2 linked regions of the Elephas maximus indicus genome follow. The protein of the gene in region 1 interacts with the protein of each later gene in a biochemical or structural test. Links are inferred from orthologs where the notes say so. Each region holds a gene or a part of one and is shown on either strand. Other genes may lie near its edges. The genes, in order: RPS6KB1 and PDK1.

Evidence for each region.
Region 2: the proteins of RPS6KB1 (region 1) and PDK1 form a complex in vitro, tested with the Homo sapiens proteins (2 studies listed by BioGRID and IntAct, with this or other methods). The link is inferred for Elephas maximus indicus from reciprocal best matches to the Homo sapiens genes RPS6KB1 and PDK1.

Annotation. Positions count from the first base shown.
Region 1 is NC_064837.1:34,232,593-34,239,854, reverse strand, and holds the start of RPS6KB1 (ribosomal protein S6 kinase beta-1), read left to right. Parts: upstream 1-4,006; 5' UTR 4,007-4,111; coding exon 4,112-4,252; intron 4,253-4,736; exon of another isoform or gene 4,737-4,840; intron 4,841-7,262. Other genes in the region: TUBD1 (tubulin delta chain), read right to left, coding at 799-1,015, 1,842-1,989, 2,487-2,658. UniProt on the Homo sapiens protein: Serine/threonine-protein kinase that acts downstream of mTOR signaling in response to growth factors and nutrients to promote cell proliferation, cell growth and cell cycle progression.
Region 2 is NC_064824.1:70,684,680-70,692,842, forward strand, and holds the start of PDK1 (pyruvate dehydrogenase (acetyl-transferring) kinase isozyme 1, mitochondrial), read left to right. Parts: upstream 1-5,072; 5' UTR 5,073-5,167; coding exon 5,168-5,369; intron 5,370-7,757; coding exon 7,758-7,899; intron 7,900-8,163. UniProt on the Homo sapiens protein: Kinase that plays a key role in regulation of glucose and fatty acid metabolism and homeostasis via phosphorylation of the pyruvate dehydrogenase subunits PDHA1 and PDHA2.

The sequences.
Region 1 (7,262 bases):
AGAAAGGCAGGAGTGAAGAGTGGTTAAGAGCGTAGATTCTGAAGCCATCCTGCCTGCGTTCACATTCCTGGCTCTGTCACTTTCTAGCTGTTGGTATGATTTTGGACAAGATATTTAACCTCTGAATGCCTCAGTTTCCTCATTTGTTTAAAAACAAACAAACCCATTGCCATTAAGTTGATTCCAACTCATGATGACCCTGAGTTACAGGTAAGACAGGGACAATAATTACACTGGTCTCCGAGAGTTAGAAAGATTAATGATATAATGGAAGTAAAGAACTTAGGAATAGTGCCTTGTACATAATAAGGGCTTAGTAAATGTTGGCTATTATCACACTTCCTTCCTACATCATTTCCTATAGTGAGTTATCTCACCTCCAGTTTACTGATTCTCCTACTAGGCTGACCAACACGAAATTGGCCTATATACAAACTTCTTCCCCATGGAAAAAAAAAAAAACTATTTGAAGGTTGGCAATGGCACCATGAACCCCAATATGAGGTCAAGGTCTGTCCTGCTTTACATACTGTAGCCAGAGGGACTAACTCAGAGTTGGGTTCCTGAGAGGGCATACACAATCATCTTTTTTTGAAATTTTAAAAAACGTGGACACCTAGTTTGTTTGGAAAAGTTTAAGTTAAGTGAATTGTACTCAAGAAAGTATCATGTTGCATAATCACTCCTGAAGCTGTAACTTAACATGTCCAAAGAAAGAGTGAGAATCAATTTCCTACCCACATTTATTTCAACTGGAAAGAATGCAAAATATAAAAATTTCAATTAATACGTTCATACCTCACCGGTTCCATAAGGCCATATAACCTGATTCATTTTAAAAGAGTTTGGGTACTGATCTTGTAAATCCCGGGTAACAAAGGCTCCTAGCCCTGATCCCGTGCCCCCGGCCATACTCATTATGATGAAAAAACCACTCAAAGAGTCACATTTCTCCACTTCCTTCTGAATTAGGTTCATTATAGATTCTTCATGCCTGGGTCCATGAACAGAGTAACTATGCAATGCAAAAGAGACAAACATAAACCCTTTTAAAATTGACCACAGAGATGCAATGCAGAGATAGACACAGGACAGAGCGAGCTTTTCAAAGCTGCGCAAGTGAACTAATTCTCACGAAAGATACAAGTACTCTGACTGGCAGAATTTAAAATACAAAAATATATTTAACAGGTGAATATGACTGCTAGGAGAGGGCACTGACTAGGTACAGGAAATTCTCTTTTATGGGACATTCATTTACCAGGAGCCTTCAATGACCAAGTAGTTCTGTGTAAGTTTCTGGTACAACATAATATCTGATACTCATAACAATAGTCCTAAAGCAGTGGTTTCAAACTTTGCTGCACATTAAAATCACCTGGGGACCTTTGAAAAATCCCAATACCTGGACTTTATCCCAAGCCAATTAAATCAAAATCTCTTGGAGCGAGTCCTAGGCATTGAGACTTTCCAAAGATCCCCAGGAAATTCTAATGTGCAGCAAAGTGCTGGAACTACTGCTTTGTAATATTCTTGCCCAATAAACCAGAATACTCGCCAGATACAGATAATATACTGACAGTAAGTCAGCTGGCAGCACGACAATGAAGAAGGTGGAAAACCTTGGGGCAAGAGATCCTTCATCATTACCTGTACCTGAAGCACAGACACAGAGACTGAATGAGAGTTTCTTCTGGGTGAATTCAAACTTTAAAGTAGCAATTACAAGATTGTTTGCTAGTACAATCTAGAGTATATCAACTCTACAATTGTAACTACATTGTCTATTAATCAACAATGTATCTGTAACTAAACTGCAAAATATGTGGAATTATTCTTACCCATATGCCCAGTTGTTTCCAGAACCTTGTCTTTGACAGAAGCATGCATGCTGACCATATTTCCATCGGCCAGACCGGGCAGCCTTTGATAGTGTTTGATTGATAACTTTAGGTTCCATGTCAACAAGTACAGCCCGGGCAACTAGAACTAGCAAGGGAAAAAAATCGAAAGAAAAAATATTTCAAGGAGGAAATTTTATAGTAGTTAGTGTTGTCAAATCCAGCAGAGAAGTTAAGTGAATTAAGAAAAGAAAAACAGCCATTGAATCTGGTAATTAGGAAACTTTTTCTTAGAGTAGCTTCAGAAGTGGTGAGGGCAGAGCAAGATTGCACTGGGTTAAGGAGGGCTCTCCATTGAGAATCTTGGATAAGAAGGCAAGAAATTAAGAAAGAAGAAAACTTTAGTCAAGGGATTTTTTTTGTCTTGCTTTGTTTTAGACTGGTGAGATCTGAGCGCGCTCATGTGCTGAAGGAAAGATGCCACTGGGAGGCAAAAATTGTCAATAATAGAAACAGATGGGAGAGAGCAAACATAGGTCCCTAGAGAGATGGGGGAGGGATGGGGTTCAGACACCAAGTGGAGGGCTTGGCCTTGAAAAGGCTGGCTACCTCAGACTAAAGGAAAGAACCATGGGCCACACATACCTCCATTTTCCTCCTCACTGAAGAACCTTTCTTTGCAAGACGCTTGATACGCCTCATTCTCCTTCTTGGAGCAGAGTCCCTGGGAACAGTATGAGTCACTAAATAAAGTATCAAACACTTCAAAACCAATCTGATTGCCACACTGACCAAGTTGCACTGTTACTATTGACATGCTGAGCCACAAAGTCCCACCAAAAAAGTGAGCAACCTGTAATAGAAAAATATAGACTTTGAGAACTATTATATTACTAAAAGAACAAATAAAATGCCACATATTAATTACATCTTGATTAAAAAATATAATTTAAAAATGCCATATATGTACAGGGTTGCAGATGAAATTGTTATGTTGTCTAAGGTGCCAGTCATTCAGGAAGTTCTCCTTTTCTTTATGGTTTTGCGATTTGTGATTTACTATACTCAAATACATTCATACACAGCTTCCACAATCTGATTCATACTATTTTCTTCAGCATGCATTTAAGACAAAGCAAAAAGAATGCTGATTGACGGGATTACGTAGTAATACACAGTTCACACCACGTGGACACATAGAACACAGAATTTCTCTCTGCAATCACGCATTTAATTAACAGTAATTTTCCCTCTTCTAAATAATGACTTTCTCTCCCTTCACCAACCTCCTTTCTGGCTTGATAACTACAATTACACTTTGTGACCTCTTGGTTAGCAGCCCAACTCTTAACCACAACGTTCCCTGGGCTCCTTAGCTCCAGTACAGGAAGAAAGCCGGAGCTCGGAGAAAGCAGACCAGATGAAATATTAGAACTGGTTTTCATTATGTTTAATAAACAAAACAGACAATTTTTGATAAAGACCTCACACCAGGTCTATGCAGCAGTGGAAATGAGCCACGGTTTGTGAGCCAGGTTCTGTGCTTCAGATTTTCAAACAATCCTACAAACCAAACCAAACAAAACACACCAAAATCCTACAAAGCAGGCATTATTATCCGCTTTTTACGGATAAGGAAACTGAGGGTCTGGAAAGTTTTGTGATTTCCCAAGACCACCAGACTAGTAAAGAGCAAAACCAAGACTCTCCCTTTCCCCACCGGCCCCAGGAACCCCTCATTAAAATAAACTCACTCACTGACAGCCCCGGTACTAGTCGCTTCTGTCTTCTTCAAACTTCAGAGGGCCAATCCTCTCGTTATGCGCATGCTCGCCTTCAACACTAAACACTGCCAAGAACGAATGCGCATGTTCCACAGACTGAGCGTTTTGGGGGTAAGTGGGGTGGTGGGTGCGTGTGTGTGTTTCTTCTTATTCAGAAAGGTTAATTACGCATGTTTAATTTCAATTTATCAACATCAGATATGGTACGCATGCTCGCTGTCCATCAAAAGCTTGAGCTGACAATGCGCATGATCTAGCCTCCAACCGAGGCTTCGGCTGGCATTCTGCGCATGTCTCTCCCAGGACCTTGATCCTGGCAATAATTCTACGCATGTCCACTGCCCACAGTTCGGCTTCATGGGACCCAGTACGCATGCTCTAGCGCTGAACTTGAGGAGCCAGTCTACGGCCTAGGCGCAGTCGCACTAAGCCTAAGCGGCCGGTGATGGCGGCAGCGGCGGCAGTGGTTGCGGCGGGTCCGGGCCCATGAGGCGACGACGGAGGCGGGACGGCTTTTACCCAGCGCCGGACGTCCGAGACAGGGAAGCTGAGGACATGGCAGGAGTGTTTGACATAGACCTGGACCAGCCAGAGGACGCGGGCTCTGAGGATGAGCTGGAGGAGGGGGTGAGGCCCGGGGTCCCGGGGGGCCCGAGGTGACAGGGCTGGGGCGGCGGCTAGGGCCCGGGAAGCCAGGCGTGTCTGAGAGCGCGGAGACCCAGGGGGGCGCGAGTAGTCTTCGGGAAGGGCTGGGAGGCGCCCCGCGCGGCGGAGGTGGCCCTAGGTGTGAGGCCGCTGCGGGGCTCGCAGGTGCAGGTCACTCCCCCAGCTCCAGATCAGCGCTGTCCCGAGCAGTCTGTTTGTGGAGGGAACGAGGAAGGATGCGTGATCAGTTCCTCGAGCTGTGGCACTTGTGTGTGGTGGGACGCGGGTGGTGTGAGCGTGTGTTGGGGGGAGGGAGGCTGGCTTGTTAGGTGTCCCGTAAAGTGCAGGCGAAGTGCGGAAGGGTTTCCCTTCAAGTGTAAAATTTCAGGTATTAAATCCTCAGATCTCCCACAACTACCTCTCTTCTCGGCCTGTCGCTTCTCTCCTAGGAAGCGCTCAGCTGTTAGAAGTGACAGCTGAAAACTTCTGTCGGGAGTAGCGCTGCCGCTGCTGTTACAGCCACCAGGAGTTTTATTTCTGGAGCAAGGGGGCTCAGCTGCATCTTCCAGGGTTTGTTTGTTTGCTTTTTTTTTTTAACCCCCTTCCGTGTGATTTTTTATAAAAGCATTTGTAACGACACACGGCATTTGTAATTAACTTTTCTTCTAGATGAAGATGTCTCTCTTTTTCGAAATATATTTATGTAATTTTGGGGTGGAAAAAACCCACTGTTGACAGCTGTGATTTGGCTTGCCAAAAATAAATTGCTTGAATTGAGACTTGTGAATGGTGGTGTGAGGGCTTTCCTTGCTGTAATTTAGGATGCTGAATTTAGAATTTTTTTTCTAATGCATAGCTTGGTTTTACCTTTAACAGTTTGTTATTTATGAAAGATCATTCTTTCTTCAAGATGAATTTGTTGAAAAATCACAAATTGCACCTGATGTTCAAAAATGATGTTGTCATACTAAATCACTTATCCTGGGCTAATGGCATCAGCATAACCTCAGTGTAATTTAGGTTCTAAATTCCACTGTCTAATGAGTACATGGGTTAATGACTCGTGTCATACGTTTGCTCTAACTACATAAGGGGCTCCCCTTTTCTTTCCCCACGTACAATTTTCCTGCTATGGCAATAAATTGCACCCTGCTTGTTAAAAGATTTCAATGCTACATATATAAAGAACTTAAGCAACTAAGTGGGCTAAAATAATAATAACTATTCTTTTCATGATCAAATGAGTCTAAATCAAAATCACACAGTTTAGAATGTGGATAAGAGGTATGTGCTTTTTAAACTGCTATGTCTGAGTATGGGATTCCGTTACTCTCTTAAATGAACACCATGGTACACTAAATAACAATTTGAAACAAATAGGGGATTACTTTCTTAATACAGGTAATTCTGCATCTTTTTATGTTTTTTTCTGCTCCAACTTCCATTACATGCACCATACTGTCATCAGTTATAGTATTTCCATATGGCAATGATTTTGGGCCAGGGTAGGGAGAAAACGAGATAGGAAGGGTGCTTTATATTTTTGTGAGTTAAAATGATATAATTTCCAAACTATGAGTTTATCCTCCTTTGAAAATACACCACTATATTAAGACACTTGTTATGAACTGGGACCCCCTTGGTATGTGCTTCAGAAACAGTGTGTAGTCCAGTTTTGACCTTCTCCTGGGCTTTTGTTTTGCTTCCTACAAGCAAAGTAGGATTTTGAGAGGATGTGGTGGAGATGGCCTGAGAAATTGGTAGATACAGGAAAGAGCAAGAAGTGTGGTAACTACCTGGGAAGAGGATAGAGCCAACCAAACCAGTTGCCATGGAGTCCACTTTGAGTAAACTCAGACTTGTGGTGACTCTATGCGTGTCGGAGTAGAACTGTGCTCCATAGGGTTTTCAGTGGCTGACTCTTTGGAAGTACCATGTTTTTATGCAGATAACATGTGCCTTCTATGTTTGTTTGCCAAGCACTCCCTCCCCCCACAAGATATTTTCATAAGAGCCTCTATGCTGATTTTTTAAACATGTTTCTGTAAAAAATTAGCATAGCACACTTATGAAAATAACCTGGGTCAGGGGGGAAGTGGTTGGGAAACAAACTACAAGGTGCATGTTATTTGCATAAGAGTATGGCAGGTCACCAGCCATTTCTTCTGAGGCATCTTTGGATAGTCTGAAAACTCCAGCCTTTTGGTTAGCAGCAGAGCTTGTTAACCATTTGCACCACCCCGGGGCTTTGAGGAATAACCTTAAGTAAAATACGTCTTACTTATCAATGCTTTGGGAGTTGAAATTGTTTCTTTTGGGTGTGTTATTCTAAGAGGTGCCTCAAGGTAGACAAAGTTGGGGTGGGATTGGGGTGGCAACCCAAGGAGAATTGCTTACGTCCAGGTTACTCGAAATAAAAAAAAAAATTCTGAAGAATAATAAAAGTTTAGTTTCTAGGAAAATGTAATATTTTCCAGCCATTTATGTAATAGCTATTAGTTTATTACACAGACTTTTTTAACAATGTGTATCAGAGTAACCTAATCTCTTGATTTTATAGTAAGGAAACTGAGGCATAGGTCAGAGAGATGATTCCCCAAGATCACATAGCTAGTGGTAGTGTCTTCTGACTCAGTTCAGCAAGCTTCATTGCACAACTTCACTTTATTTACCAGTCTTGATCATAATGTGCATCTTTGTGGTGTGGCAGAAGTGAGTTAAAAATCACTTCTACTACCCTCCCTATGTGACTTAAAATAAGTTGCTTAACCTCACTGATGGAGCCCTAGTGGCACAGTGGTTAAGAACTTGCCTGCTAACCAAAAGGTTGGCAGTTTGAACCCACCAGTCACTCCTTGGAAACCCTATGGGGCAGTTCTACTCTGTTCTGTAGGGTTACTGTGAGTCAGAATTGACAGCAACAGGTTTGGTTTGATTTTTAACCTCACTGTCACTTTCTTCTTCTCTATGAAATAACGATGGCATGAGGTAA
Region 2 (8,163 bases), on another chromosome or scaffold:
TGTTACTGGACCCTCGCAGGAGCCACACCTGTGGGAGAGGAGACCTTACTAGAACTGTGGCCACACTTGGAAGAACACAATCATGGCTTTTCCTCTCGTCCTGAACCGCATGAAGCCAGAGGGTGAGCACACAGAGTGACACCATCCAACCTCCTGGGGCACAGACTCGGGCAAAGAAGAGAAGAGAATGTACTGATTTAGGAAATAACATTGGAGTCATTATTCTCTCCTTCAGCATAGAGAATGTGACCCAGCTAGAGCTGGATTCACAAGGACTCACAAGGAAACATCAACTGGGCCCTGAGATACAAAGACAATAGCTAGGACAATCTTGGAAAATATCTTTTAGTGAAACTTTCACAAAAACCAATCAAACAGAACACAAAAGACTTCCATTCTTATCTTTTTCTATTAGCATTTAGTGAATAGAAAATTTGTTGGACCAGTGAAGACCCTCCTGACTGTCATTACTGAAACCTGTAAATTAAGAAAGATGATTCAAAATGTAGAATCACGTTGATCTAGCAGTTTTTAGCGAATCGGTGAAAAGGGAAATGTTCAATGATTTTACCAACTTGTGATGTTAATATATGCTGATGATTCTGTAACATTGGGGCAGATGTGGCTCTGGCAGCATGCTAGTCTGTCCTCCCACTTCTGCTTATTCTGTGACCTTACTTGGATTTGGGCAGACATTAGCTCTGGCAGCATGCTTGTTCCCTTCCCACTTTTGCCTTTTTGAATATATGTTGAATAGAACTTTCTTTTTTGTTTTACTAAACTTTGTGATTTTTTTTTCCTACAACAGTATCTAGAGGGGCAAATAGAGAGCAGCCAGCACAGCTAGCATAGACTCCTTGCTGTATCTAGTGTTAAAGAGAGGAACTGATAGCAGGTATCTTGCTTTGATTTTGAGGTTTTCTTTCTCACAAAGGAAACCCTCGTGGCGTAGTGGTTAAGTGCTACAGCTGCTAACCCAAGGGTCGGCAGTTCAAATCTGCCAGGCACTCCTTGGAAACTCTACGGGGCAGTTCTACTCTGTCCTATAGGGTCGCTATGAGTCGGAATCGACTCGATGGCACTAGGTTTTTGGTTTTTACTCACAAAACCAAATATTCACTTTAAAGAAATTCCTGACCAAAGTTAATTTGCCAGCAGCCTTTCTTTTACCCAGAGTTGCAAATCCTTCTTTCCTGTTCAAAGAAGCCAGGCTTACTAAACTTGAATTTCAAAAGACATGGGTGGGTGGAAGGGCAGAGACTATCTTGTGAACCATACCAACTGATCTCAGTAAAAGGAGGAGGGCAGGGTTCAACCAGTCACGTTAAGATTAGCAAATGGTTGATCTGCTATGTATTTTTTTCTCTCTCCTATTCTATTTATAAGCCTCATTGTACTTTAAGCCGTTTGCTTTTTCTGGAATCAAAATTGTCTCTCTATAAAACCAAAGCCAAACCTCTTGTCGTCAAGTCAAGTCCGACTCATAGCGACCCTTTAGGACAGAGTAGAGCTGCCCCATAGGGTTTCCAAGGGGTGGCTGGTGGATTTCAACTGCTGACCTTTTGGTTAGCAGCCATAGCTCTTGACCACTGCACCACTGGGGCTCTGGTCCTCCTATACGCATATTGAATAACTGCTCAGGATAAACTTTATGTTCAAATTCTGTTGAGTTTCGATTATTTTTAACACTAGCTTGTTCTCCATTGCTTTTCTTACTTTTTTTGGTCAGACCGGCCCAACATGGATCATGAATTCTCAGTGAATTTAGAGGTCTGGCTCAAGTATGCTATATAAAGACGCCTTTATAGAGCCTGAGAAACAGAGTTTTTAATTCTCCTGAAATCCAGATTTCTGGGGTTGGGGGAGTTGGGGTGTGTCGTAGGGAAAAAACATCAGTAAGTTTAGTAAAGGAAAAAGAAAGTTTTATTCAATATATATTCAAAAAGGCAAAAGTGGGAAGTGGACAAGCATGCTGCCCGAGTCCAAGGAAATATTACAGAATAAGCAAGAATGCTCCTTAGAAGCAAGGATGGCAAGACTGTGTCTTACATACTTTGGACATGTTGTCAGGAGGGATCTGTCCCTGGGGAAGGACATCATGCTTGGTAAAATACAGGGTCAGCGAAAAAGAGGAAGACCCTCAATGAGGTGGATTGACACAGTGGCTGCAACAATGGGCTCAGGCATAATGACGATTTTAAGGATGGCTCAGGACCAGGCAGCATTTCGTTCTGCTGTGCATAGGATTGCTATGAGTCAGAACCGACTAGACGGCACCTAACAAGAACAAGAAGCAAGAATAGAAAAAGACAAGCATGCTGCCAGAGGGACTACATAGGATTATATACATCCCTACAGAAGCAGACTGTCACATCTTTCTTCTGCAGAGCTGCTCATGGTTTCGAGTCGCCAACCTTTCAGTTAACAGCCAATTGCTTTAACCACTTCGCCACCAGAGCTGTCAAATTACATCATCGCAAAACTGCTAAACCACTGAGAATCATAGCCCAGCCAAGGTGATACATAACCTTAACCATCACAGCCAGGGTTACTCTTACCTAACACCTCAGCATTTGTTACTGCCAAACGTATGTCGTTAACATGTAAAATAGTTGGATAGTAGATTTATTACTAGTGTTATGAATGTGAAATGCTGGATAACGAGATAATAAGTGAGGGGTAGGTGTAAGCTTCAAATCAATTTATATTATTGGCTTAATATTATTTGATTTAACAAGCCTTAGAATATGATTATACTTTATATCTACATAGTTAAATAATATATCCATTTAGTAAAATTGTCCATGGTTCTCTCCAACTTCTGGACTCTAAGCCTTTGACCAAGAAGCAAATAGTTGATGCCATTCTATACACGTATGTATCTACTCATTCTCTGCATATTGGGTGGAAACTCTGTGAATATATTTGGAGAAAAGAAAAAATACTTCATAAAACAACTGATTTACTAAAATAAATCTCAAGTTTTCTGTTGGGCTTTCATACTTCCACCCAAGTCACTGTTCAGCTGAGCACCTTGACATGTGTAGACTGTAGCAGAGATGCGAATAGAGGATGAAGGAGATGAATAATGCTGTACATAGCATTTATTGGGGAATAGAACAGCTATAGCTGGGCAGCACTAGATAAAAATACCAAGTGCTCTGAGGTACAAGCAGAGAGAGGGGTCTATATAGAGAGAGAACAAAGGAAAGGCAGTGGGTTAATGATTGATAAAATCAGCTTGGGTTTGAACTCCTTTAAAATGTAAATGTTGGCCACTTGGCTAGGAAGGGGTGGGTTACCACCTGGGTAAGTGGCACCAGCCAGTTTGATTATACACATTCTTCCTAGGAACAAATTGTTTACATCCTGACACACTCTTCCTATATGGTTTACATCCTGACCTTTTGTTTCCTGAGAAGGCACCTTGGCCCCATCATTCTTGGTCTGACATGAGCGCCTCCAGTTGGAAACTTTTCAGTTTACAAAGTGCTTTTTGCAGCCCATCCCAGCAACTACCTAGACTTTAGTTTCCAAGTGGTCAGTGTTTCCCCTTCAAACTAAACAGTTTGCCTGACTAATGAAGCCTAAAAAAGAATTTCATTCTTTCTACTCATAATATTTTTATACAACCCAAGACCTGGCCACCATACAAAATTGTTATCCTATACCAGTAACTGCTGGGCTTACATATATTCTTTATTTGATAAATTTCACACCCACCATTAAGTAATTTTTTTGCATCTGAGCCATACAAGGAAATCCCTGGATAGAGCAAATGGTTAAGTGCTTGACTACTAGCTGAAAGGTTGGCAGTTTGAACCTACCCGGAGGTGCCTTGGAAGACAGGCCTGGCAACTGCTTCCGAAAGGCCACAGCCTTGAAAATCCTATGAAGCAGTTGTACTCTTTGCTTATGGGGTTGCCATGAGTAGGAATCTACTCAAAGGCAACTAACGACAGACAAGACTTACCAAAGCACTGGGGCTGGGTACATGGGGGGAGCAGCATGTAGGACATATGGAAGGGACAGAAGTGGTTTTCACTATAGACTGTAGCCTTTGCAGCTCTGCCTTTGGGACTAATCAATATTAGAAATTGTCTTGTCCTGTGTTCACAACTTGGACCCCTGGCAGCACAGTGGTTAAGAGCTCAGCTGCTAAACAAAAGGTCGGTGGTTCTATTCCACCAGCCGCTCCTTGGAAACTCTATGAGGCAGTTCTACTCTGTCCTATAGGGTCCCTACGGGTCAGAATCGACTTGACACCAACAGGTTTGGTTTTTAGGTCTTGTTCACTATTTAGAGGCCTGCCTGGAAGAAGTAGAGAGCCAGACTGTGTCCCTTAGCTAGTTAAAAGAGCAGGGCAGTTAAAGAAGAGGGATCCTTTAAACACATTGCTGACCATGCCAGGAATGCCTGCAGATAAAGCTTCCAGGTGGGCTGATCTCCTAGCACTGAAGTCGCTGTGATATTACTTAGGGCCACATCCCGCAGTGCTTATATACTATGGTTTGGCAAGGGTCGGCTCCTGAAGCTTTCTGGGTCTGTTTCTTCACCTATAAAATGTAGCGCTTGCAGCAGCGATAATGGTGCGTGAAAGGGGAGCGATGCTCTCTTCTCGAGCATTTTGGCTGCGGCTGGGAAGGCAGAGACAGCAAGAAGGTGGGATTTGTTACAAAAGGGCGTGGGAAGGGGCGCACAACACCGTAAGTCAAGCGCCACGGCGACAGGCAGGCCTTCCGGCCTGGCGAATGAGAGGGGCCAGGGACCTGGCGAGGCTCCCGCCTCAGGCCTTAGTCCTCACGCGCGCCGGGTCCCTGCGGCCGGCCCAGCCCGGAGGAACCCGCCGCGGGCCGGGAAGCGGGCCGCCCTCGCGCGCGCCCTCCCTGCCTCCCTAGCTCACGGAGTCCGCCCCACAGGCAGGGGGCCGGGCTTCGGCGCAGGGGCGGTGCTTGCGCGCGCCCTCCCCGCCTATCTCCCCGCCTCCCTCGCTCACTGGTTCCCGCCCCGCGGGGCAGGGGGCTGGGCTCCGGCGAGGGGGCGGTGGCCGCGGAGGTGACAGCCGCTCCCCACCCCAGCAGCCCGCCACGTCCCTCACGTAGCGCGGGGCTGAGCTGCAGAGCCGCGACCTGGCGCCCAGGACTGCCGCTCCTCCAGCCGGCTCGGCATGCAGCTGGCGCGGCTGCTGCGGGGCGCCGCCTCGGCCGGGCCGGGACCCGGGCTGCGCGCCTCCCGGCCCAGAGCCAGCCGCAGCCTCACCTCGGACTCGGGCTCTGGCCCTGCTGCCGAAAGCAGCGTTCCGGGCCAAGTGGACTTCTATGCGCGCTTCTCGCCGTCCCCACTCTCCATGAAGCAGTTCCTAGACTTCGGTGAGTGCGGCCCGGGCCTCCGGCCTTTGTGCGCCGCCGGGGGCGGGGAGCTGCCACCCCTGACCCCCTCTCGCCTTAGGCACACCCGTCCTCTGTCGTTTTCTCCCCTAGCGGAACCTTGGACGCTTCCTTCCTCCCTCGCGGAGCCGTAAGCTCAGGTGCAGGCCCTTGCTGCCCGGGTAAATAACTGGGGGTGTGTGGCTTTTACTGTGTATCGTTGAAAAACAAACCAGAAGGACCAAAGGCGGAATGACCTCCCGCCTTTCAGCGCAAGTGTACAGATGTGCGTACTGGGCCAGGCTTTTTCCGAAGAGCTGAGCTGCGGGGAGAGGCGAGTGCACGGACACCCCGGGAATCGTGTACGAAATCTGCAGAGCACCATACATGCTCAGTTTTGCATATGTGACTGCGTAAAATTAGCGTGATGATAGGGAATGCAGGTTATATAACTGGCCCTGTGTTTCATAAAATGTTTTTTTCAACAGTGTCTTAGGAGTGTTTCCACGAACAGCAGATTCATTTAATCAGCAATAAATAAGCCTTGAGCACGTGTAAAGTGCGTGAGTACAAGATGCAGTGGGGTTTACCACATATCACTCCTGTGAAAGCGACCCTGCTCAGATGGACGCTTTCTTATTTTCTCTAGAAAACATACAACAGATAGAGGAAGGAACTGCAAACTTAGGCATTTAACGTTTGACTTTCCTTTTGGGGGCAATGAACGTGGGTAGAAAAAAGTTGTGCACTGTGAGTACTGTTAGGTCACTGACCTATCACTAGAGGGCTTGAAAGATACTAGCAGGGCTGGCAACTTTATCTTAACAAACAAACAAACCAACCCATTGCCTCAATTCTGACTCATAGTGACCCTGTAGGACAGAACAGAATTGCCCCATAGGGTTACCGGGGCTGTAAATCTTTACGGAAGCAGACTGCCACATCTTTCTCCCTCAGAGTGGATGGTGGACGGAATCCAGGATATTTTGGTTAGTAGCTGAGTGCTTTAACCACTGTGCCACCAGGGCACCTTTATCTTAAAACTGGTTTACAGTGGCAGGCTTTTTAAGCTCAAAGCCCTTTGTTTTGTTTTTACTTTAAAATGGCACTAGTATGCTTAATGGGTGAATTTGACCTTGTTCACAAGTATGTGTTTACACTTGCCACAAGAAAATGTTTTCCTTTAATACCATAATTGCCATCTCCAATCTAGTTTTTGCTAAGGGTACCCCTGCTGAAAGAGCAAAATTAAATTAGTGAGTTGAAGTGTATTATTGAAAGAATATGACTTTTCAGTTGACTTTAAATGGAGTTGCTTGCCCAAGGACGCTCTACAGATGTTCTGCTTAGAATCCTGATATGTGAATGGAAAAGGGCAGTCTGCTCTGCAGGAACCTGACAATTGAATTAGACCTGCTGGAGATTAGGTAGCTACAATCTTGAAAATGGTTGCTGAATAGGCCTTGATGTTTTTTGCTTTCTGTTACTTGAAAGGCCCTCTACCTTTACTCTCTGCTTGTGGTGATTTTGTTGTTTGATGTCGAGTGGATTCTCACTCATAGGGACCTTATAGGACAGAGTAGAATTGCCCCATAGGGTTTCCAAAGAGTGACAAGTGGATTTGAACTGCCAACCTTTTGGTTAGGAGCCATAGCTCTTAACCACTGTGCCACAACCTGGGAAACCCTATGGGGCAGTTCTACTCTGTCCTGTAGGGTAGCTATGAGCCAGAATTGACTCGACAGCAATTGTTTTTTTTAAACCTTTTTGGGAGTCAGGTCTTTTCTCTCGTGGACCTGCTGGTGGATTCAAACTGCCAACCTTTTGGTTAGCAGTTGAGCATTTAACCATTGTGCCAATAGAGGGGCTCCTTGGTGATTAATATAGGGGTTCCATATGGAAATGAATGAATCTTCCTATGCACATGTCAAAATTTTCTGGTTTCTTAGACATTTATTCACTTTTTATAAACCTGGAGTTAGGAAGCAGATTTTCAAAATGATAGCAGGTTATATAGGCTAGGCTTTTTGATGTTCTACTGTTAATTAGACTGAGCCTTGCTCAGACTTGCAATGGTTAGGGAGATATTTTAAGGATGCTCAAGAAGTAAAAGCAACAGGAAAGTGTCTTAATTGCTCTGTAGAGGCATTGGAATTCCAGAATTTGGAAGGTTCTTCTGGATACCTCAGAACTCTAAGGGCTATTATCTTCTCTCCCTGCCTCCCCCTCCACCCCAGCAATGGGTACCTTTTGCCTCCTATTCTGTGCCCTATCATTATGATGATTCTGCCTCTCGGGCCCTGCCAGATAACTTCCTCTTTCTTTCTGCCCGCCTTGTGGCTTCAGCTGCCTGTTTTGACTTACTGCTTTTCCTACCATGTTTGGTTTCAGGATCTGTGGATGCTTGTGAAAAGACCTCATTTATGTTTCTGCGGCAAGAGTTGCCTGTTAGATTGGCAAACATAATGAAAGAAATAAGTCTCCTTCCAGATAATCTTCTCAGGACGCCATCAGTTCAATTAGTACAAAGCTGGTAAGAGTCCCATCTTGTGTTTGCAATTTCGATGGAATTGTGGGCTTTACTCAGCTTTAAAGCCAATGCTTTTTTACTCTACCAGTTGCCATCAAGTCAACTCTGACACACGGTGACCCCATGTGTGTCGGAGTAGAACCTGTGGTCCATGGGATTTTCAATGACTGATTTTTCTGAAGTAGATTGCCTGGCCTTTCTTCTGGGATGCCTCTGGGTGGACTCAAACACCTAACCTTTTGGTTAGCAGCTGAGTGTATTAGCCCT